2 linked regions of the Arabidopsis thaliana genome follow. The protein of the gene in region 2 interacts with the protein of the main gene of each other region in a pairwise test. Each region holds a gene or a part of one and is shown on either strand. Other genes may lie near its edges.

What was found. Proteins that work in one complex are often made in the same cells at the same time.
Region 1: the proteins of HK2 (region 2) and ARI8 interact in a two-hybrid assay, tested with the Arabidopsis thaliana proteins (one large-scale study listed by BioGRID).

What each region holds. Positions count from the first base shown.
Region 1 is NC_003070.9:24,304,283-24,308,038, reverse strand, and holds the start of ARI8 (IBR domain-containing protein), read left to right. Parts: upstream 1-1,700; 5' UTR 1,701-1,879; coding exon 1,880-2,023; intron 2,024-2,207; coding exon 2,208-2,332; intron 2,333-2,437; coding exon 2,438-2,543; intron 2,544-2,625; coding exon 2,626-2,716; intron 2,717-2,926; coding exon 2,927-3,099; intron 3,100-3,253; coding exon 3,254-3,358; intron 3,359-3,463; coding exon 3,464-3,552; intron 3,553-3,756. Other genes in the region: GTB1 (global transcription factor group B1), read left to right, coding at 1-330, 538-1,094. UniProt on the Arabidopsis thaliana protein: Might act as an E3 ubiquitin-protein ligase, or as part of E3 complex, which accepts ubiquitin from specific E2 ubiquitin-conjugating enzymes and then transfers it to substrates.
Region 2 is NC_003076.8:13,914,798-13,918,553, forward strand, and holds the start of HK2 (histidine kinase 2), read right to left. Parts: upstream 2,009-3,756; 5' UTR 1,541-2,008; coding exon 1,271-1,540; intron 1,174-1,270; coding exon 1,000-1,173; intron 895-999; coding exon 415-894; intron 335-414; coding exon 59-334; intron 1-58. UniProt on the Arabidopsis thaliana protein: Cytokinins (CK) receptor related to bacterial two-component regulators. Functions as a histidine kinase and transmits the stress signal to a downstream MAPK cascade.

The sequences.
Region 1 (3,756 bases), on a different chromosome or scaffold from region 2:
TAGTTTATTGTTTTGGGATTTCACACGAACATCCAGGCACTTTTATTCTGTCTTACATAAGGAGCACAAACCCACATCATGAGTATATAGGTTTATATCCCAAGGGATTTAAGTTCAGGAAAAGGATGTTTGAGGACATTGATCGGCTTGTGGCATACTTCCAGAGGCATATTGATGACCCATTGCAAGAATCGGCGCCATCAATCAGGTCTATTGCTGCCAAGGTACCGATGAGAAGCCCAGCAGACCATGGATCATCTGGAGGAAGTGGTTGGGGTAGTTCTCAGAGTGAAGGAGGCTGGAAAGGTAACTCGGATCGTTCAGGCTCAGGTAATGCATTTTAAATTTGTTTTTTTAACTTGCATAGAAAAGCTTGTGTGGTCATTGTTCTACTTCTCGGGGTTATGTTTTAATTTAACTTCTGGTAATCTGGATTTTAGATGCCGAGAAGTATTTATATATTAACATTATTTATGTTGTCTCCTTGACTATACTTCTGGACGTCCGCTCTTAAGTAACTGTGCAACTGTATTGTAGGGAGAGGCGGTGAGTACAGAAATGGTGGTGGACGTGATGGACATCCAAGTGGAGCGCCTAGGCCATATGGTGGCCGTGGACGTGGTCGAGGCAGAGGACGGAGGGATGATATGAATAGTGATAGACAAGATGGTAACGGAGATTGGGGTAATAATGATACTGGAACTGCAGATGGAGGTTGGGGAAATAGTGGTGGCGGTGGTTGGGGAAGCGAGTCTGCTGGTAAAAAGACTGGTGGTGGCAGTACTGGTGGTTGGGGAAGCGAGTCTGGTGGCAATAAGAGTGACGGTGCGGGCAGCTGGGGGAGTGGGTCTGGCGGTGGTGGTAGTGGAGGTTGGGGAAACGATTCTGGCGGTAAAAAGAGCAGTGAGGATGGCGGTTTTGGAAGTGGTTCTGGCGGTGGCGGAAGCGATTGGGGAAACGAGTCTGGTGGTAAAAAGAGCAGTGCAGATGGCGGTTGGGGAAGCGAGTCTGGTGGTAAAAAGAGCGATGGAGAGGGCGGTTGGGGGAATGAACCCAGCAGCCGGAAGAGCGATGGCGGTGGTGGTGGATGGTGAAGAAACACAACCTCGGCTACAAATGTTGGTTGGGTAATTAAATTACGAAGGCAAAAGGCAAGACATAATAGTATAAACACATTAGTAGTAAATTAGCTTTCTCCCTAAATGCCTTTTACTTTTACTTTGATTCTCTGCATTTTTGTCTTAACCTGTCGGTATTAGTATCGGTTTATGTCTTGTCCCGACTCTTAACGTTCCAGGAAAGTCTTTTTAAGTCGATGCTTACAAAATTTTAGAATCTCGTTATCTTGAATACTTTTTGTTTGTTTGGCTTCTGTTTCACCTAAATTACATAATCAAGCTCGTAAATTAATGAACTATTTACTTATTGCTGTACCGGCATGTTCATTTTGGATTACTTATGATTTTCCATCCTTTTTGTTTTTGTGAACATGAAATTACAATTAGCCGTTATCGATCTAAACAATTCATTTCGAAAAAAAAAAAACATTTTCAAGAGAAGAAGTCGAGAGATAGCAAAACAAATTTTATTAGTTGTTGCCATATATACAACTTTATCCTAAATATTCATTGGATAAAACATTATTGCCTTCATCACCAAAAAATTTGAAACAAACGTTTTAAATATTTCTTCTAATCGTGCCTTGGGATAAAATTGGAAGGGGATTTAGTGGCTAAGCTTAATTTACCATTTTGCCATTATTCCTTTTTCGATTAAAACGTTTTCCCTTCCAAACGTCTTCTTACGAGAGAGAGAGAAAGTATCTAAAATTAAGCTTTGTGTTTGAAATCGAAATCGAATCGAGAAGAAGAGAATCTCAATGGAAGCTGATGACGATTTCTACAGCGGCACCGAAAACTACTCCGATTACGCCGACTCCGACGAAGATGACGCCGACGGCGAGTACGAGTTCGTTGACGACGCTGCTGATGATTCCGATGACCTTATCTTCCGTCGCCGCCAGGTTTCTCTTCTCCATTATTCTGGATCTACATCTTAACCAAAATTGAAATTAATGTTGTTTCCAATACAGAGATTGAAGTTTTGGTTTCTGAAATAATCGCAGGACCTTTTTGTAATGTTAATGATGATTTGAGAAAATTTTATAGATCACAATGGCTAATGAAGAATTTGTTTTTGGTTTGTAGCAAAATTATAGTGTGTTAAGCGAAGCAGATATTTGTAAGCTTCAAGAAGATGATATTTCAAGGATTTCTACTGTTTTGTCCATTTCGAGGAATTCATCTGCGATCCTGCTTCGTCACTACAATTGGTGTGATTCCAGATTCTGTTATTCAGATATTACAGCTATTGTGTGTGTGTGTGTGTGTGTGTGTGTGTGCTTAGAGGAACTTTTCATTTGTGTAAATGTTTTTAGGTGTGTGAGCAGAGTTCATGATGAATGGTTTGCTGATGAGGAAAAGGTTCGAGATGCTGTTGGTTTATTAGAGAAACCTGTTGTTGATTTCCCAACTGATGGAGAAGTATGTCTCCCATTGTTTATATTTTCATTTCGATTAACATTGTAAATTCATCTAATAGAATTCAGCTGTGTCATTTTGGCAGCTTGATTGTGGAATTTGTTTTGAGACTTTCCTTTCTGACAAATTGCATGCTGCTGCTTGTGGTCATCCATTCTGCGACTCATGTTGGGAAGGTTTGTTTTATATATTGAGACCCATTTCCAAACGTGATGTTTAGATTTAACTTGCAATGTACTGTTTTTTTTTTTTTGCTTGATTTCAGTAACTTGTACCTTATGTTTCATTTCAGTCTTCATTTGCAAGTATTGCAACATATAAGCATTACAATTAATAATGGTTCATTATTGTTGGGTTAACTATCTGACCTTTCCCCTCATCTTTAGGTTATATCACCACAGCGATTAATGATGGTCCAGGGTGTCTTACATTACGATGTCCAGATCCTTCTTGCAGAGCTGCTGTTGGTCAGGATATGATCAATTTGCTAGCTCCTGATAAAGATAAGCAAAAGTACACTAGTTATTTTGTCAGATCATACGTTGAAGACAATAGAAAGGTAAGCTAGCAAACTCAGTATGATCGTACGTTAGTGTGCATGATATTTATTTGTGTTATATTAACCTTCAAATGAAATCAGTGCATAATTTTAGTGTTCTCTATCCGTCCATATATGTGCTCACCCAGATAGTAATGCATCTTTTATGTTGTAGACCAAGTGGTGTCCCGCTCCTGGCTGTGACTATGCTGTAAATTTTGTTGTTGGAAGTGGTAATTATGATGTGAATTGTCGCTGCTGTTACAGTTTCTGCTGGAATGTAAGTTACGCTATCAGTTAGAGTTAGAATAGTTTCATCTTTCCATTGTTTAGAATTTAATTGACACAACTATACCATGTCACTTTTATCGTCATGGGTCTGCAGTGTGCTGAAGAAGCTCACCGTCCTGTAGATTGTGACACTGTTTCTAAGTGGGTATTGAAGAATAGTGCTGAGTCGGAGAATATGAATTGGTACGTTGATTTATGAGATATCGTTGAGATATGTTGTTGTTGTGCTCGACCTTAAAGGGTGCTTAGATTTTTTAAAATATTTGGGTTCTTTATAAATAGATTGTTTTCTTGTATTATATATTCGTAGTTATGGCTACCATTTTGTATAGCCAAAGGAAGCCAAAATGTTGGATATGTTTGCATTTTTAACTATAAGAAGAAAAC
Region 2 (3,756 bases):
CTCTTTTAAGGACATTGGTTTGGCAAAATAGTTCAAGAAACTTTTAGACGTTACTGACTTCTCCAGACATCATGTCGACCGATACAATATGGGAAACAGTTTCTTGAGCAAATATAACTGGCGCGTATTCGTCTTGAATCGGTGCGGGATCAAAGTTTTCAGGAACACAATCTTGTACAACTGTCTGGTCCTCAGTTTCCATTTTCTTTATTGCCCATCCATGCTCCTTTTCAAATTTCTCTCTTTCTGAGTGTGGGACTTTCAAAGCATACGCTACACCACTAGTAAGTGGCCTCTCAAAGTTTGTTCTCTCAGTATATTCTTCAAATGTTCTCTGTAAATGTAACAGAAGTTGATGATTTAAACATAAACTTGAGACACAAAATGTATTTAGCAGTAAGAAAAAAACATCACCTGATCAATGGCAGATGGGATTTTACCATGATGAAATGTAGATACAAGAATAGACAAGGCATGAACATGGTTCAAGCTAACATTGAACTGATCTTGTAAAACACGTGCTCGTTCGTCACACATGTTTGCCAAAGTCTCCCTCCTTTTCATTATGATCTCCTCATTAGTGTCCCAAAACCACCAAACAGAGAAGGAAACTCCTCCTAAAATACCAAGGAGAAGGATATTCTTCCTCCATCTTCCAGCCCCTCTAGAAGAAGTCTGAGCACGTTGTTGCTGCTTCTTTGGAGCTAAAGCCTCTTGCAGATGTACTTTCTCTTTCCTCTCACCTCGTGCTTTAGAATGAGATACATAAATCTTATGGCACACTAACACACCAAGGATTAGACACCACCATGCATTTCTTAAATACGATGACAAACCCTGCTCCAGCCCTTCTTCATGGTTTTCTTCCTCAAGGTTTTCAGGTTGCTGTAAAATCTACTCATAACCAAACACATTCACAATAAACTTTTGTGAGAACTAGCTAAACACCAAATCTTAAAGCATTTCCTTCACATGTTGTCGAATCGAATATTATCTTACCGGTTCAAGATTACCACACATACAAGATGTTGATGAGATAGAATGTCCTAAGCCAAGATTCCAGGGAAGCCCTCTAGTCTCTTGTTTATCAGAACGCACACTCAGGGAACATGTAATACCATAGTTTGTCCACATTCCAGGGCTTGATTCCTTATGACATTCAAAGGATGTTACCTACAACAAATACAGAGAAACTGTTACACTTTAAGGCAAATCTGGTGCGTATTCAAAAGCTCAATTTCAACAAATACAAGTCAATTCATGCAATTACCTGATCTGAATCAGAGAACAAAGAGACCAAATCATGAATCTCACTTCTTGTGACATTTTGATGTCTATACAACACTTTCTCTTCTCCATTACAAGAATCTGTCTCCTCCTTCTGACTTCTACCTAACCGTAAGAACATAACCAAAACAATTACCAAAGAGCCACACAAAATCAGGAAGAAGAGAGGCTTCTTTAGCCATTTCTTGTCACTGCTCGACGACTTCTTAGCTTTCTTTGAAGTAAGATTCAAGAGCTCACAAGTTATAGACATTTCGACTCCTAATCTCAGATTCAGCTGAAGAAATTCAGATCTCTTCAAACCCAAAACTAAAACTCTATCAACAACAATCTCATAGTTGAGTTCTTGAAACCATCCACAAGAAGAACAAGAAGCTGTGACATAGTCCCAAACGCAAAGCTTTTTTCTTTTTTCTTACTTAAGACGCAAGAGGACAAGATGAACCAAACCCAGTGGTTGTTGCAATGGGAGAAAGAAGACATTGTTGAGAGTAAAGAAACGGAAAAGAGAAAAAGGACAAAGCTTTATCTTCTTTCATGGTTTCAGGGTAAAGAAAAATGACAAAGCTTTCTCTGTTTTAGATGTTTGTGAGCTTAAACAAAAGAAACCCAGCTGGTGTCTCTCATTACCCAACTGGACTCAATGATCAGAGTTTGGATAAAAGAAGCATTTGTTAGAGAAATTATGAGCTAAAGAAAAAGAATGTCACTTCTCTCTTCTTTTACTCTACTTTTGATTATTATTATTGTTTTTGTCTTTTGGTGAATAAACATTTTTAAAAACTGAGGTTTTTGGGTCCATGATTATCTCATCATCTAGGTGGGGAAGGTATTATAACATTTTTAGTTAAATTAGAAAAAGTGATTGGCTAATGAAAATATAAATAAACTCAACTATACCAAGAATCAATACATGCTTCTCCTAAAACCTACTCATTGTTATTTGTTTTTTGTTTGGTCTTTTTGGTGTTTTTAAATTGCTTCATTAGCATAGTTTAACATCTACTCTTAAGTCTTATCTTATCTTGTATAAAATATAACGATGAGTGGGTTTTACGAGAAGTGGGTATTGATTTGATTCTATATGTACATCTTATTTCTTTTTATCAGTTTATGTATCTTTGTCTCCCAGTTACATTTATGATTCTGATTATTTTTATGTAAGAAGTTCTGTTTAAAATTGTATTTGACTTTGAAAATATATTAGGACTAGATCATAACCCGTGCTGTATAGCACGGGCATTAATATTTTGTATAAATTACATTGTATACTTTGTTATGTTTGTTATGTTTATCAAAATTATTTGTTATATTTGTCAAAATTTAGTAAAATATATTCAAATATAATTAAATTTATTAAAACTTAATAAATTTAAAAGTTTTTTTTGTTTAGAGACGCACTATCTACATACAAAATACTCGTTTCTATTTTTTTGAGTATTTTTAGGGCCTGAAACTTTTTATCCAAACTGACCCAAACCCAACTGGACCCGACCCGAACCGAATATTTAGAATTATTCTATTAGGTAGTAAATCATATACCCATTAATCCCAAACCCGAACGGGTTCTACCCGAACTCGAATGGGTTACTCATATGCCCAGCCCTATTCTCTGATTTAATTATCTAAAAAATCCCAATAAAACATATGTTTTGTTGAATACCTTTTATTCAAAAAAATTTACATCCTCTTCTGCCAAAATCATTTCATAAGACATCCCAAAACCCTTGGAATAATGATTCTATGAATGAAGAATCCTAATTTGAATATACCAAGAGGTTTTGAAAGGTTTTAAGTTTTTGATAGGTGTGTATGTGAGAAGGTACATCCATCGTGATGGTAATCTGCTTATTTATAATTTTAACTTGCATTATACAGCAGGTAGGCTTATATTTTAGTTAAACTAAAAACTTTTATTGTAAAGTTGATTACAAATATATGATATTATTTTATTTGATTTTAAATGTATAGTAAACTGCTAGTTGTATATGTTTTGTTGATATTATTTATATTGTTTAATGTTTAAAATTATATACTTGTATTTTGATTGTTAATTTTAGAGTTTCACCTGTACTATACCATCTTGTATTAATATTGATTTAAACCCGTCAATTCTAGGATTTTCCAACTTGTATTAAAAATTGAATCACATCATACACATTAAAAAATCTAATATGTTATTAATTATTTTAGTATATAAAATTATAAATTTTAAAATAATATGTATGAAATTGAATATAAATATTCAAATTATAACACAGTACTCAGTAAAATTTTTTTTTAAATCTACTTTTGACCCGTTATAGTATTTTTTCATGTATTGAACAGTTTATATTTGTTTTTTTTAAATTTAAATTGTGGCATATGCGAAAAAAACTCTAATTATTTTTTTATAACGATGATATTATTTTTTTGCAAAAATAAAATCATATAAAGATGAGAGGTGAACTATAATAATTAATAAAAAAT